Lonchura striata: one gene and its partner. The protein of the gene in region 1 binds, or shares a complex with, the protein of each later gene. Links are inferred from orthologs where the notes say so. Each region holds a gene or a part of one and is shown on either strand. Other genes may lie near its edges.

The links.
Region 2: the proteins of GABBR2 (region 1) and KCTD16 are in contact, whole or in part, in a crystal structure (PDB 6M8R), measured with the Homo sapiens proteins. The link is inferred for Lonchura striata from reciprocal best matches to the Homo sapiens genes GABBR2 and KCTD16. Residues at the interface, in NP_005449.5 of Homo sapiens: Ile882, Asn883, Ile888, Gln889, Arg891, Leu892, Ser893, Leu894, Gln895, Leu896, Pro897, Ile898, Leu899; in NP_001357415.1 of Homo sapiens: Asn30, Gly32, Gly33, Gln34, Val35, Tyr36, Asp64, Leu65, Ala66, Lys67, Asp68, Ser69, Arg72, Phe74, Gly79, Phe80, Arg83.

What each region holds. Positions count from the first base shown.
Region 1 is NC_134603.1:62,278,381-62,287,857, forward strand, and holds the start of GABBR2 (gamma-aminobutyric acid type B receptor subunit 2), read right to left. Parts: upstream 4,142-9,477; 5' UTR 4,119-4,141; coding exon 4,048-4,118; intron 3,246-4,047; coding exon 2,936-3,245; intron 1-2,935. UniProt on the Homo sapiens protein: Component of a heterodimeric G-protein coupled receptor for GABA, formed by GABBR1 and GABBR2. Within the heterodimeric GABA receptor, only GABBR1 seems to bind agonists, while GABBR2 mediates coupling to G proteins.
Region 2 is NC_134617.1:727,388-737,175, reverse strand, and holds the start of KCTD16 (BTB/POZ domain-containing protein KCTD16), read left to right. Parts: upstream 1-5,461; 5' UTR 5,462-5,568; intron 5,569-6,206; exon of another isoform or gene 6,207-6,616; intron 6,617-6,888; 5' UTR 6,889-7,206; coding exon 7,207-8,038; intron 8,039-9,788. UniProt on the Homo sapiens protein: Auxiliary subunit of GABA-B receptors that determine the pharmacology and kinetics of the receptor response. Increases agonist potency and markedly alter the G-protein signaling of the receptors by accelerating onset and promoting desensitization.

The DNA of each region.
Region 1 (9,477 bases):
GAAGTAACTTGTGGTCATATTTCATAACAAAGATGCAATTCACAGAGTCATAAACTAAACATTGCACTTAAGTGCTAATTCAATTTAAATGCTTTGAAAATCACTCGAGCTGCTGCTCATGTCCTCAAAGGTTAACGAGTTCAAGTGCTGACAAACAACAGTTCACCTTAGAAGGCACGCTGCAGTTCTTCATATGTTATGGTCAGAAAGTAAAGACATTATGATGCTTCCTTATACAAACCAGAACTATCAAGCCAGATAGAATATTCAGTTCAATCCTGACAGAATGAACCTGAACTCATAATAAAAAACAAAAAAAACCAATCTAGTTTATTTTCATTATTGTTTTTCACAAGCACTTAAAGTATTACAAAAAATTACAATACAAGGATCAGACTGCAACAAAGACGGATTTTGGAGACACAAGGGAGAATACCTGAATTAGTAAATCACTGCCATGCATTTCCTAAGCATTATAAATATACTACAATTATTTCTCAAGCTATTAAAAAATCCTATGTGTTCAAGGCTCTACATTCTCTCTTTCAAGAGCCAACAATGTCACAAGCACCACCTGTGAAGCCCTGAGAGGGAGAACTACTCCCTGGTCTCTGATTATGCAATGATAAGGATCCAGGCCCTTCAGGCATAGCTATTTATTGGCAGTCTCAGAAAATAGGCTGAGAATCAAGTGGGCATGATGAGCCAGCTACCCTCCTGCTTATCGTAAGTGCACTGAAGGAAAAGGGTAATGTCTGAACCGACTGAAAAAGTTTGTGCTGCCATTAGGTATTTAATGGCTATTCCAGGCATTCGTCCATTCTGTTGGGTGCAGTCAATCTAGCACTCTTTATGGACACTAACTTATTTACTTGTCACTATTAAGCATGCAATAATGACCCAACTGTACTCTAAACATGTACGGTCACCTGAATTAGCATTCCATAACCATGCATTTATTAATTTCTTAAAAGCATTTAAAGCAACACAGCAAGGTAGCAACATGACCCTGATTTCTTATGTCCCTGGAGTACTAACAGTAAAATTTTAAAGAAACTGATACTCATTCCAGAACAAATAGGGTAATTTTTTTCCTGAATATTTTTATGATAACTACCTAGTTCAGAACCCAAAATCTCTATGAAGAGTGCCACAATATTTTGACTGCAATAAAGTGCAGCACCTTCTTTATTAAGATATTACTGTAAGAAGAAGGGACATCCTGCCTAGGCTTCTCTAATTCCTATGCCTATTTTTTTAATAATTCTATCCACAGGAAAAACTAATATAGATTAACGTAATGAAAACAGGATTAGGAAACCTGTGAATTTTTTCCTGACATGCATCTCACTTTATGAGACAGGTAATGCCATTCAGAAAATCCCCCATAATTCTTTTCATTACAATTGCAGAGTTCCCTGAGATTCATCTTTTTAAAGAAACAAGCAGCTACTCTAGGTTGATCTTGCCTGTATTCCCTGTCAGTATCTAGTCTTGTTCACACAACACAACAGGATGGCAGCCTGCTCCTTCCTAAGTGACATCTTCAGCAGTATTGCCCTCCATGCATTTCTGCTCAGTGGTTGGTGTTTTTTTTTGTTTTTTGTTTTTTGTTTTTTTTAACACTATGACAAATTTATGTCAATAAAAAGCAGCCACCCTGGAAGGAGAGGCCTTTGGTAGTCATTTTAGGGACGGAAACACTGTCACGATACAGTACAGCCTGTCATTGCTGCTCTCAGTTTGTTCCCCCCGGACCTGAGAAACCTAAAGGGAGCACAGGGGCTTCCTTAAATTACAGCCGGCAAGATTTTCAGCAGTCACTTGCTTTACCGGGGGTTGTCTTGGAAGCGAACCCCGACCGCCAGCATTACACAAGAAGTGACTGCCATCTTCAGGGGAGCCCCGGTACCGGACCCGCGCCTATCCTCCGCAAACACACAGGTACTGAAGTTGTGACAAAAACCAAAGGCAGCTGCGGGCGGGCGGTAGTGGCAACCAGCTCCACAAAGCCCTCGCCCCGCTCCCTGCCTCTCGCTCCCAGGTAAAGGGAGCGTGTTTCCTCGCTCAGCAGGGCTCCCCGCTCTCCCAGCGCTGACGGCCGGCCGCTGGCAGCGCTCCGGAACGGGGGCAGGCATCCCGCCGCACTGGCAGCGCTCCGCAGGAACCGGCACTGCAAATTTAGTTCTTCCCGAGAAGCGAGCGCCTCCGCGCCCCGCCGCCCGCCTGCCACGCACCCCCGGACGAGCGCTCAGCCGCTCCCGCCGGAGGGCAGGGACGGGGGGAATCTCGGCGAACCCCTGCGAAGCCTCCCCTCCTCCTCCTCAAGCTACGGCTGCGACCGCTGCCCTCCGCGTCCCGTCGCCGCATGGGATAAGCCGGGCTGGCGGCGTGAGCCCGTTGGCGGAGCGGGGGAGCGGAGCGCCCGGTGTGCATCTGTTGCTGAGCGGGTGGCGGCTGGCACAGGGATGCGGCCGCGGCTTCGCTGGGCGAGGCAGCTTTCCTCCCACCGGTGTACGTGCGTGCCAAGGGCAGCGGATCCCAGCCACCGCCACCGACAAGAGCCCCCGCCGCCCGGGCACCCGTCCGGGCCCACCCCCGCGCTGCAGGCGACTCCCGGACAGGGGCGCTTCTGGGGCGGTGGGGCGAGCCCCAGCTGCCGGGGCAGCCGCTCCTGGTAATACCGGGCGGGCAGGATTCGGCCCGCCGGCTCCACGTCCTCCCCCTCCGCCGCCGGTCCCTGCACATCTGCCGGCAGCCCGCGGGGCCGGGCGGGCAAGGCGGCTCGGAGGCGGCGCGCACGGCCCCGCCGGCAGCCGCAGCCCCGGCCCGGGCGTCCGCGCTGCCCTTGCGCCCCTGCACCCGCAGCGCCCCGGGACTGGGCGGCGGCGCCTCCCCCTGCGCCCGGCGGCGCGGGGCCCGCGGCGGTCCCTACCTCCGTGTCGTAGACCCGCAGGTCCAGGGAATAGGGGTTGAGCAGGGATTCGTTGCGGATCTGATCCATGGCCAGATACACGGCGGGTAGCACTCCCTGGGTGATCCTGCTCTCCTCCTCGGACTGGTTGACCGGCATCAAGCCCATGATGGAGATCGGCGTGGTGGCGTTGGGGGGCAGCCCGGCCGTCCCCCGGGAGCTGCCCCGCGACCAGCCCCAGCCCGGCGGCGCCCAGCCCAGGCACAGGAGCAGCAGTAGCATGGCAGGGTTGGAGGTGGCAGCGGCCGGTCTCCGCGGAGAGGGATGCATGCTGCTGGATGGGGAGGAGGAGGAGGAGGACTGAGGGTGGGGGAACGGGCTGAGCGGCGGAAGAGAGCCGAGCCCCTCTCAGTCTGGGCGCATCCCCCGGCGGCAGAAGCCAAGGCGGGAGGGAAAGATCTGCCTGTCTCCTCTTCCTCGGGAGCCTCGGGGTCTCCTCTCTCTTCCCCCCCCCCCCTCCCCTCCCCTGGCAATAATCCTTCTGGCAATGGCGCCTACTCCTTCCCAGGTCTGCCAGCTGCAACCACCAGGAGCAATAAATAAATAAATAACCACCACCACGCACACACAGACACTCTCCTCACCACCCTCCTCCGCTCTCCCCGGCGGCACAGCAAGGGAGCGGGACCTGCCTCTGCCTCCTCGGCAGCTCTCCACCCTCTCCGCTCAGGGAGGGACAGCACCTCTCAGGCGCGGGGGGGGTAGCCGAGCAGCCCTCATTGAACACTTCCTTCCTTCCCCCTCCTCCTCCTCCTCCTCCAAAAGGGTGAAAAGGGAAAAAAGGGATGCTCCGGCAGAAAACGCCGAAGAGGAAAAAGCCCCCCCTCTAGAGCCGGGGAGGCGGAGAAGGGGAGCGGTGCCGAGCCGGGCGGGGGTGCTAATGCCGCATTCCGCGGGAGCCGGGGCAGCCCCCGCCGCGGGAGCGAGGTGCCGCCTGCGCCCTTCCTGCGGGTCGGGCAAAGCCGCCGGGCAGGATGCGCGGCCGCGGGCAGCGCAAAGTGTGCGGCGGCGGCGGGGGCCGGACCGCGCTCCCTCTTCACGGCATCAGCGTTCGCTGCCTGTGGGTCGGGCACCTTCTCCAGGTGGAGCTGCCAAGGCGGGCGCGGGTGGGCGCGGGGAGGTGCGAGCTGCGGCCGCTGCCCATCGGCGCTGTCCCCACGCGCGACCCGCCCGGCACACGCACGGAGCCCGCTGGCAGGGCGGCCCGGCGCGGGCGGGCTCCGCGCACTCTCCCCGCCCTCCCCCGCGCACACGCGGCACGCAAACACGCTCCCACTCGGGCTCGGCACCCCGCACACGCACACGCGCAGCCAGCCCGGGCCACGGCAGCTCTGCGGCACGCAGGAGCGGGGCGTTTCGCTAGAGCAGAAGTCGTGGGGTTTTGGTGGGTTTTTTTGGTGGTTTTTTTTGGGCTTTTTTTTTTTTTAAACCGGTTTCTTTTCCCCTCAGAACTGGCGGGTTTTTGGAGACCCTGACACTGCTCAAATTACAAAAAACAAAAACAAATAAAAAAAAATAAGGTTGCGGCAGGACTCTGAGCCTCCCCGAGGGCTGTCGCAACCCTGTGAATAGTCTGTGGGAAGCGAGCCCTTTCCACACATGTTCTCCCAAGTAATTGTCACCACATCACAGTGGCTGTGGGGCATAGCCCATAGACAGCCCATGGCTTTTTGCGTTGCTCCCAGGCTATCCTCCCATCCCAGGGAACACGTTCACACTGCCCACCCACGTCCGTGGTCTGCAGAGTCCCAGAGCAGCAATTCACAGATCTGTTTCATCTCAGGTAGATCCCATACCTGTATGGGTACAGGCAAAATGAAAAACTTTTCTTAACCCTGCCTTAGGCACCTCACTTTTTATACATATTCATAAATTTCCTGAGGTCACTCCAAGCAAGCCTTTGAAGATCAACCTAATACATCTAGTTTATGTTACACTGCAATGGCAGCATGTCTGCAATAAATTGGAAAGAATTTTCATGGATTAATATATTCTAAGATTGTAAGATTTGACCTTGGGCCAAAAGCCCTCAACCAGTAATTTCATAACATTTGTTGCGTTACAGCCTTTCACGCAGAATGACATCCAGCAGTGTTGACTTTAAGATATCAGTAATGAAGAGTCCATCACTTCTCTTGATAAATCATTTCAATTATTAATTAGTTTGCTAAAAGGTGTATTTCATATTCCGTATCAATTTGTCTTATTCCAACTTCCAGCCACCAGTTCTCATCATACCTTTATTGGCTTAAGGGAATGTAGTGTCAGGGATCTTCTCCCACCCACAGGGGCTAAGATTAATCACATCTTGCTTTTGTAAAAAACAAGGCCAACTTTCCCTCACCTCAAGAATCATTCCTGGAGGCACTTCCAATGCACCTCTCCTTTTTCCACATGATGTTGAACTGGCCCTTCTAACCCTGTGACCTGCCTGCACTGGGCCAGAAGCTGCAACCTCAGCACCTCCCTCAGTACCAGCCGGTTCCATAGGCTGGGCAGGTTGGCAGATTGAGAAACCTAATCCCTACAGGAAGACCAGGTAGTGTGTTGTCCTTGTAGGAATGTCTCTTTATGAAATCATCTGCACCATGTTTTTGATGCCTCAGATTTTAGCTTTTGTATTTTCCAGATTTTGTACTGCTTTAGTGTGTAGTTCTGAGCTTCATATTGGGGAATAGTAAGCTCTCCTCAGAGTAGGTAAAAAAAAATAATCCTTTTCTCTCTGGGGACCAAGGACAAATGATCCAAATTTCAGTCCCAAAAGCATAAACAACAGTGGACTGAAGAGAGAAAAACAAGAAGGATATGACTTCGTAATCTAAAGCCGTAATTGGACAATAAACTCCAATAAGATAATGGATCCGAATTTATAAAAGTGAGAGACATCCATTGTGTGATCATTTTGGTTCATCTTGGGTGTAGCCCTGGCTGGGCTCTTGTACTGCCCAAGGTGTATCTATTGAGACCTTCTAATAAATACCTACTTTATTATTTAACTCTCTCTAGTCTCTGTTCCAGGTCAGCCTTCAAAGACATCAGTTTCTGGTGACCCAGGTGGGACAGAAGGCATCTGGAAAACCCCCTGGACCAGAGCCAGACGAACATCCAGCTCTTGCCCCCTCTGCCCCCAATTCCTGCTGGCACTGCCTAAAAGCATCACCTACCTCCTTACTCCTGTGCATTTGGTTTTGCACTAGAATAAATCAAACCATGACCTTTACTTGTACAAGTGATTTGGCCAGCAGTTTGTCACCTGCAAACTTTCCAGCAACTCATTTTCTTCCAGAAAATTGATTATCATAACACCAAGAACATTCCTAGGATGCCAACAGAAATAGGTGCCATATTGATTTTGTGTAATGCTATTTTTAACCAGAATATCATATGCGAAATGATGTTTTGCCATTCTCAACTTGCTATGCAAGTTTGTCAAAATTAGTTTCACAGAAAATCTTTCTTCACTGCTTGTATACTGTATCATTCTGTGATTTTCACCAGTACTTGGCTACCAGTACTACAGCTACTTGGATCAATTTGATCATTTTACAATATTGGCAGTTTATTAGCACACACACTCACATTGTCTCTGGACTGTCATCATCTTTCCAAGAGCTGGGGTTGTTTTGGAAGCAATTTCTCTTTTTGAGAACTCAGTCTTTATGAAAGAAAGCTTGAGGCCAGGTTGTGTGTTACAACAGAATTAGTACCTTGGACATTATTAGCAACCACCTGACATCCTTCTTTACTACTGCTGCAGTAGCAAATGTCCTTTTGTTAGCTGAAGATTGAAATGCATCTCCTTGCTTTTCCCAGTACAGGTCAGAAACTTCACTGAGTGTGAAGTTCAAGGTTTGCCCTCATGTGGGAGGCAGAGACCAGCTGACACTGGTGTCCCTGCAGTGCACAGGGAAGGCCAGTGCTGGAGAGGTAGGGCAAAGAAATGCATCTAGGAGAGGTCTGCAGAGGTCTGGAGTATGGCTGGATATCGTTTAAACCAAGCAAAGCTGCACTTCAAATTACAGTATTTAACAAAGTGGTTCTTCTGACTTTAATCTGTTTGTTGCTGCATTCCCTGTCAGTAAAACAGGATGCTCTTCGTTAATGGTAAAAAAAAGATAAAACAAAACAAAAACAAACAAACAAAAAAAACCCTCACACTAAGAAAATAACTTTTATTTTTCAGTTTAGGGATTGGTTATGGGAATGCAAATAAGACTATATTGAACAATGAGGATTAGTTAAAGTAAGCCTCTCAAAATTCTTCCTGTGTATCAGTGAGGCATGAAAATGACAGTTTCTCCACCTTTTGTAAAAAGCATCAAAACCCCCCAACAAAAACAAACAAAAACAAACAAAAAACCCCAAGCACCTCCCATTCCCCCCACAAAAACAGTGGATGTATTGTAAGAAAATAATGTAATTAAAAATCATAGTGTAATAGACACACTGAAGCCAACTTCTGATTTCACAAAAACCTTTATTTCTGGCACCTAAGTAATTTGCAAGGAAGTTTCACATTCTTCACATATGTTTTCAGCATGATTCTCTGCTACAGTTATATTTTGTAAAGCCTGCTTCTTTCCAATTCTCAGCACTGAGAAATTTCTTCTTTCTTAGGTACTATGCTGCATTTATGAATAACAGATGCCCAGGTAACAGCTCATTTTAAATAAAAGTAGGCCTAAAGGAGAATTGCTCCAAAATGCTTATTAAATATTGTGTCAGACACAGGCACTGGCTCAGCTGCCTTTTTTTTCCCTCTTAGAAATACCCAGAACGTTTTGCTACCATCGAACTGGTAAAATAAATTCCCTAGGATGAAATCCTCTGAAGCAGCACACATTCTTTATCTGTTAGGCAAAAAGGCATTATATTCTCATTTGGTGGTCCACATCAGACACCCTCTGTTTATTCCTTGTTGATTAAAATATCAGTTCACAAGAACTGTAAAACCTCTTCACTCGAAAATCAAATGTCACTTTCTTCCTGGCATGTTACCCAGCCATTTCTGTGCTTCAATCATGTGAATCCTTCAACCATATTTCTGTAAAAACACTGTCAAATATCTTTCCGCTAATGAACACTTCCAATTTCTCAGTTACTTCTAAGTCTTCTCACAGCCTATGCACAATTAACAATTTTTTCTTTATATATTTATATTTGCTCATCAGAGTACCTAATTAACTTCACATTTAAGCATCTGTACTAGTATGACTCCCTTGACCACTTCTTCAGTTGCAAGTATCTTCAGACCATGGATAAAGTCAAGAAACTCAGAGAACTGATTTTCCATTAACACTAATAAATAAATTGCATCTGTTGCAAGTCCTCTCCTACTCTGGGAGATGGTTTGATGCTACACAAAATATGTCATGCAGCCCCTTAGGCCAGCAACTCACTTCCTGTATGTATTTTCCTGTATATTCATCTTAATACTTTTGGAGAGATCACTGAGAAAGTCCTGCCCTGTTTTTGTCTCCAGCCACCTTTGCAAATCCTGGAGCCATGCAATTCCTGTCAGTGCTGACAGGGACTGGTCTAATTAGGCTTTGTCTGTTCATAAAAATATCAGTGAATTGTGGAATTTAAAAAAATGAAAACTGTTAATCTAGGCATATTAATTTTAGCACTGCATGTACAGGCATAATGTTTTTCCTCTGTAAATGAGAAATGTAACAATACTGCAGTGCTCTTGCACCTCAGCAGAACAGGGGGAGCTTTCCCATCCACCTTTTCCCTCCCTCCCAAGGGCTTTCCCACCTACCTCAGCTAACTTCCTAGCCCAAAGTTCCATATTTGTTACAAGAGCATACAGCATTCTCAAACACCACCAAAAACCCTCCACAGCTGCAAGAGTATACACACAACTGCATGATCCTTACCCTACAGCCTCTCCAGACACCTTGATTGCTGTCTTTATATCAGGGTGTCAGGACACAGCTCAGCTTACTTAATCTCCAAATCTAAGGGCCTTAAGAGAGGCAAATGAAGTTAAAAGAGCATCAGATTTTAAATTACCAACCAAGCACTATCACTGTGTAAGTGCCGATGTTTTTATAAATAGGAAATAGGAGCACAATCTCATCAGTCCTGGTGTTATCATCCAACATGAATTTCCCCTTGCAGTGTATCTTACCACTTCCTATAAATATATCAAAAATTGAACACAGTTTTGAGTCTCTGTTTTCAACAGAGCCAGCAAGAAATACTATTTCCAATTTATGTTGACTGATGCATGTACAATGATGATTGTTGTTCCCAGGTATTTGTGCAAGCTCTAGTAATTCCCCAACATAATGGTTCAGACAAGGCCACACATACAGAGGTTTTAGTGGTTAATTTCTTAGAAGGAAGGTTCATGTACTGTCTTTTGTTGAAGTGAAAATCCAGTAAGTTTTAGCCCATGTTGAAGACTCATAATTTTTAAATGAAAGGAAATTAGTGAGTGAATAAATGAAAAAAAAATCTAAATCATTACCCAATAATTTCAAATAAATATGATA
Region 2 (9,788 bases), on another chromosome or scaffold:
CCCTTGTGAACAAGAGAATCACCCTTAAAACAATACACTTGTTGCATATTCATATATCCTTCATGGTTATGCATACATTCTATTTAAAACAAAAACTCTGTCTTTTGTATGTCAACTATTTCCATTAATCCCCATGGTGTCTTCGAGTCTGAGCAAGGCCTGAAGGAATTAGCTTCTTCTGATAAGAAAGCCATAAATTCCTCCTTTCTGGAAGATTCAGGTATTCCTCGAAGCAAGTATCTCATTCCTAAAAAAAAACCTCCCCCCACATACACAGTCTCTATTTTAACTACTAAAACCTCATTTTAACTACAAAAGCATAACTGATCAATATAACATAATACAAATAGTAGCTATCTGCATAGAGCCATATAATATGCATTTTTCACACTTTGGTTTTTTGAATTCATTTTGGCTCAGGATGCAGTTACAGTAATATTGTTACAAACCTGCATGTGCAATATTGTGCTGGTGAAATGACTGCATTTAAATTGCAGCCCTGTTCCAAGCCTCGCTGCAAAGCAGAGCTGATGGTGCGGAGTCCGTGGCACTGCCGAGAGCAGGCTCTGGAAATGTGTCACTGTAGAGCTGAATGGAGAGTTCCAGCCATGGAAAACAGATCAGTAACTGTGCCGTGAGCTGCTTCCTGCAGATTTGCGCTGCAGGAGAGTTAGTGTTTGGAGGCTGAGGGGGTGCCAGCGTTCATGCAAGACCTGCACGATGTGCGGGGGCCTCTGATGGCTGCGGCTTAGTGCCCCGGGCTGAGCTGTGCGACTCGCTGCGGCTCACTGGGCAGGGAAATGAGACCCAGCCCAGGCACTGGCCTGTGTAATTGGGACCTGCCGGGGAAACGCTCTTGGCCGAGGAATCTCTCTGGCTTTGCTTAGACTGGTAGGATTTCCTGGCGGCTTAGGTGGAGCTTTCGCTGAGGAGCTGTCCCTGCAGCGGGCATCTCAGCACTGCTGTCGGCACTCAGGATGGGCTGCCAGCCCTGCGGGACAGGCTGCTCTGCACAGCCCGGGGGCTCTAGGGGTGCGCGGGCACTGCAGCTGCACAGCTGCTCCTTCCCAATGCCTTGGGAAGGGCAGTGCATGGACAGCCTGGAGCTGCAGCCTGGAGGCACCAAACACCAAGCACCAAACACCAAACATCAAACACCAAACACCAAGCACCAAGCACCAAACACCAAACACCAAACACCAAACACCAAGCACCAAGCACCAAACACCAAACACCAAACACCAAACACCAAACACCAAGCACCAAGCACCAAACACCAAACACCAAACACCAAACACCAAACTTCAAACACCAAACACCAAACACCAGCACCGTCCCTTTGCTGGGCACCAGCTCCAGCTGCACTGGGGGCTACCACACAGTGCCAGAATCCCACTCTACTTTGGGGTGGAAAGGACCTTAAAACTCATCCCATCCACAGCCCAGATTGCTCCAGGCCCCACCTGGCCTAGAACACCACCTGGACAGGGAATTTGAATTTGCAAGAGACCTTGAAATGGCTGCAACCTGGGAAGAGTAAAAGCACACATTAAAGTACTCGTGTAGTACATGGGTTACACAGTGCTGGTATCATGATAGTGCTACCAAAGTTTGTTTTAGCTGTAATGTTTAAAAACACACTTTAATTACACCAGTGTTGATAACAGAATAATTTGAATCAGACTGAGAATAAAAGTATTATTCAAAGAACTGTGGAGGATGGGGAGGATGGGGAAAGGGGGAGGAGGAAGATGTCTGCTGAAACAGGCCTTCTTATGGCAGAACTCGAAAGGGCCTTGCAGAGGGGAGGCTGAAAACTGTGATTTTTGATTGATTTTAGTCCTTGGTTGCCAATGTGTCCGTGAGGTCTCTGCCTGCCTGCACATGCTGGCTCTCTTGCAGGGTCAGGGCTGTTTGTGTAGCAGATTGCTTTGTTGAACAGTGGCCATGGCATTCCAAAGGAGTTGTCAGCACACATATATCAATTATTCTCCAGAATGTTCCCTGATGTGCAGTGATGGATTTGGAGATCACTGGAACATGATTCCCTCGCACTGTCAGCTTTTGGAAGGCTCAGACCTTGTGCTGTGCGTGTGCTGGGGGTCTGGTGCTCCCCAGAAGGAGCAGAGGGATTCTGAGCAGGAGCTGTGACCCCTCTCTGTGTGGTACACGATGACAAAAAGCCATGTCGTGTCTCCATCTGAGCCTTGCTCCCAGCCTGTCTCACAGCCTGAGCAGCTGGGAAAGCTGCTCTTCCCCTTTGCTTGTTTGGGATGAAAATACATTATGCACTTGAGTTATGAATAAAAGATCAAGGGCAAATCTGTGTAATGCTTTGCTCTGTGAATAAACCCGCCTTCATGGCACTCACGCTCTTTGCTGGAAGATCCTTTCTCAGGGACACTCAGCCATTTAGTGCTGCTTTATGCTTTTTCTTCAAAGTGAAAGATTTGTTAGGGCTTCCCATTCGCACGTACCGCTGGATTTGAGCAGATGAGAATTTCACTGTGTGTAATTCACACTGCTGGATCAGGGGCTAATCTCTGATTTAGCTTGTTCTTGCCTGGCTCTCCTTGCAGGGAGCTCAGTCTCTGGGTGATGGGGAGGATCCTGCCCTGCTGGAGAGGAGCCTGGGTTAGAGGGCTGGAACTCGCAGGAGTCTGGGATGGGTTCCTCCAGGCTCTGTTCTCTGTGTGGCCCGAGGCTGGGCTGGCAGTCCTGTCAGGGAGCTCCAGTGCAGGACACCCTTTCTGCCTCTCGGGGAAACCGCTGGCCCTCTGACAGGCCCAGTGCAGACACTTATTGCTCTGCCATGGCACCATTCTCAGAAACTGCCCTCTTGCCGCTGCCTTGATGGAGTTCTGCCCTGGGAAACGCTGCTGGGCTCAGGGCTCAGACACAGCCTGCTGAGAAGCACAGAATGTTACAGGGAACAGGGCTGAAGGACGGTTCATCCATCCTTAGGTGGCACCTTGAAGTCGTTCCTGAATCAAAGTGCCAGTCTGGAACTGGAAGTGCTGTTCTTCTTTCTTCCTTTTTTATTTTAACTATTGTGTGTAAAGATCACACAGAGTGATGAAAGTTCTCATGTGGCTTTTTAGGTAGAATCTTCTGTCCAAAATCCAGCTTGGATGTATTTTTTCCTCAGAATTACTACTTCAGCTTCTTCTTCTTTCAATTGCTCCTTCTCCAGTCACCCCAAAGCTCTTGTGTTGTTGCTGATAAACAGCTTCCATGTTTCTCACTACGTGTGGGCGACTTGATTGGAATTTCCAGCCTGTGTGTTTCCTCTGGAGATGGGAGGTGATGCACACAAACACACACACACTGCTACTCCAGCCCAGGTACCGCTGCCCTTCCTTTCTAGCACTCATTGCTGCTGCTTTTCCGACACCTATTTCTAACACCCACCACATTCCATAAAGTCACTTGTTCCATGATTTCCTGAAATGCCAATTTAGCACTTTGTCATAAGGAATGACCTCAAACCTGTGAATGATGTCACTGCCTTCATGGACTGGCTTCCAGCACAGCTATGCTGGGACTTTTGGAGCATACACTTTAAGCTCAGGCTAAATTTTCCCTTGCCTGTGCTGGGAGTTATGAAGGCATGTGTCAGAAGTGAGAAGTGCTTCATCCTCCCTTTGATGGATACTGCTTTCCTCTTCCATCAGAACTGTAGCTGCTCCTCGGTGTGGTCCTGACACATATTTTACATTTAGGTCATCATGTATTTAGCCCAGATTTTAAAGTTTCACTCTCTCAGGCTGCATTTTGATGCATTTGGTCCATGGCTTGTATTTAGCTGGGGAGCATTACGTGATGCTTTTACTCCTGAAGTCATCTCATCAAAGGAAATTGTGTTACAGTGAAATGATTGGAATGTCCCCGTGTGAAGAAATAAAAGCAGGTGCTGAATTGCTTTCATTGCTATTTGAAAAGTGCAGTTGCATTTCTAAAGCTGTTGTGATTAAAATTCTATGGTTTTTGTTATTTTCAAAGAGCAATTCTGATGATAATGTTTCAAAAAGACTTCGAGCTTAGAGCTGTCTGTACTGGCTAATCACAGGGAGTCCGTGCCTGATGCTCATTAGAGCTTGCCAGGAGCCCCAGGTGTGGGTGACTCCTGTCCCCTCTCACCGAGCACCTGCACATCCCACTCGAGTGGTGCCCAGCAGCGCCGGGCTCAGCTCCACCCCAGCCTCAGCCTTTGGTGCTGTCACAGGGACATCACAAACGCTTCCGTGCTGGTTTGGACACCGCCAGCTCTTACTGGGGACAGGGAATGCATTCTCCAAGCCCTGCCTTTATGAAAATAGATTTTAATTAGATTGAAACTGCGTATGAACTAGCATGGACAACTGAAATATTTGCGAAAGCTGATGCAATTCTCCCTGCTTTTAACTGGGACAGCACTGTCACTGCCAGAGGCATCTGTCATTCCCTCTGGCTGGTCATGCAGGTGTTAAATCCTGTCTGCACCGACTGCGCCAGGCTCTTAAAAAGGTAATGAAGACATTTAAGTGAACATGATCTCACATGCCACCTTTAAATCCTCTGTGCAGGGGTTATGGAGCACTTGACCTGCGCTGCTTCAGCTGCTCTGCTGAGGCACAAGGGCAGGACACAGGGCTTGGGCTTTTCTGAGGCACAACCAGCACACCCTGTAGTGGCACCAGATTCTGCTGGTTTGAAAATAAGGATCCTGAGGTGAGAGACAGGCTCTGCTCAGGAGTGCAGCAGTTGCTTCAGAATGAATGAATTAAGGTAAAAATCAAGGGTTTGATTAACTGTTCAGTTCTCAGACTTAATTTGAAAAGTCTGTAGGCACATAAGTAGTGATTTTCTGTCTTAGCCTTGAAAATTATTCTTTTTGGCTATTTCGTTTTAAATTACAGCCATGTTTTCAGAAGACTCTCACTGAAGTATCTGCAGCCTCAGCTGGTGCTAATACAGCAAGGTTGTGGATTCAATTCCCGTGTGGATTTACTTAAGAGCTGGGCTCCATGATCCTTGACCCTTCCAACTCAGAATATTCCGTGAATCTGTGAACTTAAGTGCAGTCAGCAAAATCTACCCCTGCATGGTGACTCCATCAGACACAGACTTCACTCTAAAGCTTTCCTAGGGAAAGGCTTTCTTTTCTCCTATGGTACCATTCCGAGAAGAGTGTTTTTGCCCAGAAGCGGTGGGAGCTGGCACGGGGCTGTGCTGCCCCGTTCCCCGGATGCCCGGCAGTGCGGGGTGCTCGGGAGCCGCTCCCGCAGCTCCTCCTCTGGCTTTGGGCCGGGCGGCGGGGACGGACACGAGGTGGCGGTGCCGGCGCGCCCGCGGCTCTCCCCGTTAGAGACCCACGAGTAAAAGCGGGTCCTCCGCACCGCCGGAGCCGCCCCCGGTCCCTCCTCCTCCCTCCCGCGCCCCGCGGGTCCCCTCCCTGCCGGCTCCGGGGAGATGAGGAGCGGCGGCGGCGGGAGCGCGTCCCGGTGCTGCCCGGCAGCCGCGGCCGGGAGTCCCCGGGCAGCGCTGCCCGCCCGCATCGCCGGCGGGGACGCCGCGGAGCCGGGACAGGCACGTTGCGGGCGGGCAGGGGACGGGCGCTGCCGGCCGAGGGACGGAGCGGGAGGGACTGCGGCGCAGCTCGGGCGCTGAGCGGCGGCCGGCCCGGCCCGGCCCGGCCCGGCGAGGCGCTGCCCGCGGTGCTGCCGCTGTCCGCGGTGCTGCCGCGCTGCCCGGCGCTGTGCGCGTCCTGCCGCGCCCGCCTGTGCCCGGCGCCGGCGCTGCCCGGCTCTGCCCGGGGCCGCCCGGGGCCGCTCGGTGCCGCCCGGTACCGGCGCTGCCCGGCTCTGCCCGGTGCCGCCCGGGGCCGCCCGCCTGTGCCCGGCGCCGGCGCTGCCCGGCTCTGCCCGGTGCCGCCCGGGGCCGCCCGCCTGTGCCCGGTACCGGCTCTGCCCGGTGCCGCCCGGTGCCGCCCGCCTGTGCCCGGCGCCGGCGCTGCCCGGCTCTGCCCGGTGCCGCCCGGCGCTGCCCGGTGCCGGCGCGGGACGCGGCGCCCATCCCGGCCCGACTCCTTTAAGATGATGCAATCGGCATCGCGCTCCGCGCCGCCGGCCCCGCGCCGCTGAGCGAGCCCGGAGCGCGCAGCGGGCGGAGCGGAGCGCGGCCCCGGCGCGGCCGCCGCTCCCGCCGGGCCATGGGGGAGCCGCCGCCGCGCTGCCGCCGCGGGAGCCGCCGGAGCCCGGCAGTGCCTAGCGCGGGCTGACGGCTTTCTGCAAGTCATCGGGGCCGGCGGACGCGCCCCGCTGCCCTCCCGCTGCCCCGGCCCGGGGCATCCACTCGGGAATTATTTTATTTATTCTTTTAGTTGTTTGTTTTAATTATTTTCTTCCGCCGTGCTGTATGTACTGCTTTCCTCGTCACTCGCCACAGTTAACTTCCCTGTGACTCGGTTTTACACTCGAGACCTCCGTGGATGCTGCTAAGAGCACTTCTGTTGCCTTTGCTGTCCCTTGCTTGGATCGGATTCACACTACCCGGACCCTGTGTGCCTGTATGTGTGTTCTGAGTGTCTTGACATTTTGGTTTTCTTTACAAGAGCTATGCATGAATTGTTACCAAGGTAAGAGTCCCCGTTCTTGTTCCCTCATGTGCATGTCTAATTTAGATGTTTCTTTAAAGATGAAGTATGAAGTTTCTTTTAAACGGTGGAGTCATATGTAGCCCTTCCATTGATGAATACTTGTGAAATAGAAGCGTAGAACTTGCCAAAAAAAAAGAGACCTATTTAACAGATTTAGCTTGGCTCTACGAGCTGCTCTGCTTTTCTCTGTTGCTGCAGCTGTGATGCTTAGAAGAGTAATTTGAGCCTTGTTTTGTTTTCCCTTTTCACAGACCTGTGAATGACCACAGACTTGGCTTGACCTTGATTTTGATGGCTTTGTTGGAAGAGCTGATGATGTGATTGCATGTCATGAGGTGATTGCTCTCCAGCCTCCAGCCTCCGTGGCTCAGTGTATAAACCACTTCTGCCACACTGTCACTCATGGACTATTCAGATTTTTTTTTTTTTTAACAATCCTTTTGGCTACTTTTGTTTTCTCGCTTCTCGTTTCCCCCTTGTTCCTTCTTAATGTTGGGAGCTTTATTCTAACCTCCGATGTGATTGATTGTCCTGCTTCTCCGTGCTGCTGGTTTCCAGTTTAAACTACAATGGCTCTAAGTGGCAACTGCAGGACTTACCTCCCTGCTCGGGAGCAGGGGACGGGGCTGCACTCCTTCCCCGAGGTGGTGGAGCTCAACGTGGGCGGCCAGGTTTACTTCACTCGCCACTCCACCTTGGTTGGCACCCCTCACTCCCTGCTCTGGAAAATGTTCACCCCAAAGAGAGACACAGCCAACGATCTGGCCAAGGACTCCAAGGGGAGATTCTTCATCGACAGAGATGGTTTCCTTTTCCGCTATATTCTGGACTATCTCAGGGACAAGCAAGTGGTTCTGCCCGACCACTTCCCAGAGAGGGGGAGGCTCAAGAGGGAGGCTGAGTACTTCCAGCTCCCGGACTTGGTCAAGCTCCTGACTCCCGACGACAGCAAGCAAAGCCCCGACGATTATTGCCACAGCGACTACGAAGAGGTGTCCCAGGGCAGTGACACCAGAATATGCCCCCCCTCGTCACTCCTGCCGCCGGACCGCAAGTGGGGATTCATCACCATCGGCTACCGCGGCTCCTGCACCATCGGCAGGGAGAGCCAAGCAGATGCCAAATTCAGGAGGGTCCCGAGGATTTTGGTTTGTGGAAGGATTTCTTTGGTCAAAGAGGTTTTTGGAGAAAGTTTGAATGAAAGCAGAGACCCGGACAGGGCTCCAGAAAGGTACACCTCCAGGTTTTATCTCAAGTTCAAGCACCTGGAGAGGGCTTTTGACATGTTATCCGAGTGTGGATTCCACATGGTGGCCTGTAACTCCTCGGTGACGGCTTCCTTCGTCAACCAGTACACAGACGACAAGGTCTGGTCCAGCTACACGGAATATGTCTTCTACCGTAAGTAGATCCGCGCGGGGGAAGGAGCGCCGGGCTGCGGCCGCCGCGGGAGCGCCCGCCTGGGCCGGGGCTGTGCTCGGAGCCGGGGATCAACCGGGACAATTTCCCCGTTTCCCCGGGAGCTGCGGAGCGAGCGGGGCTGAGCTCGGCGGGCCGGGCCTGGCTAGGTGGCAGCACAGACTGCCGAAAGCGCCGTGCCCGTGCCCGGAGGACGCGGCGCCTCTGGCGCCGTAGATCAGCAGCCGAGCGCCGAGAGCGCTTCCCGGGACGTGCAAACACCGCGAAATTCGTTACCAAATACCTTCAAGTGGGGATTCGCCTTGCAAAGGCAATAGAGGCTCGGTAATCACCAGGCACGGGCAGCCGAGCCATCTGTCAGCAGCCCTGACACGCTTCCACGCGGGGAGGGAGAGCACAATTGCAGCCTCTGGCCGCTGTGCTGGAAGGAGGGCCGCAGCAGAGGGGCAGGGGCCGGGCCGCGTTCCGCAGGCCCCCGTGGAAAGGCAGCGTCCTCCCCGGGAGGGCTGGGCCCCGCTCCCCGCAGGCACAGCCGAGCTGCCCGGAGCTGCCCGGAGCTGCTGCCCAGGGCTCATCCACTGCCGAGTCCCGGGTCATTCACTGCCGAGCCCCGGGTTATTCACTGCAGCACCCCGGGGTCATTCACTGCAGCACCCCGGGGTCATTCACTGCAGCACCCCGGGGTCATTCACTGCAGCACCCCGGGGTCATTCACTGCATCACCCCGGGTCATTCACTGCATCACCCCGGGTCATTCACTGCAGCACCCCGGGGTCATTCACTGCAGCACCCCGGGGTCATTCACTGCAGCACCCCGGGGTCATTCACTGCAGCCCAGGGCTCACCCACTGCAGCACCCCGGGTCATTCACTGCAGCACCCCGGGTCATTCACTGCAGCACCCCGGGTCATCCACTGCATCACCCCGGGGTCATTCACTGCAGCACCCCGGGGTCATCCACTGCATCACCCCGGGTTATTCACTGCAGCACCCCGGGGTCATCCACTGCAGCACCCCGGGGTCATTCACTGCAGCACCCCGGGTCATTCACTGCAGCACCCCGGGGTCATTCACTGCAGCACCCCGGGTCATTCACTGCAGCCCAGGGGTCATTCACTGCAGCACCCCGGGTCATTCACTGCAGCACCCCGGGTCATTCACTGCAGCCCAGGGGTCATTCACTGCAGCACCCCGGGGTCATTCACGGCCGTGCTGCCACCCGGGACCCGCTGGTTACCAATGGTAACACCGGGTAATCCGCATCCCGCGAGCCTGAACCAGAAATCATTCCATGTCTGCCGTGCCGAAACATCCCAGAGCTCCAGGAGGCTCTCGCTTCCATTTTCGTTTGAGGAGGATGAAGGATGGAGCAATCGCCCTGCCCATCAGTGTAGGCAGCTGCTGCTTTGGCTGGTGGCCTTGGGACAGAGGGACAGAGGGACAGAGGGACAGAGGGACAGAGGGATAGAGGGATAGGGGGATAGAGGGACAGAGGGACAGAGGGACAGAGGGATAGGGAGACAGAGGGACAGAGGGACAGAGGGACACAGGAACAGAGGGATAGAGGGACACAGGAACAGAGGGACAGAGGGACAGGGGGACAGAGGGACAGAGAGATAGAGGGCCAAAGAGATAGAGGGACAGAGGCACAGAGGGACAGAGGGACAAAGGGACAGAAGGACAGAGAGAGAAGGAGAATGCAGAGCTGCCCCCTGGGTGTGGTGCTCACAGT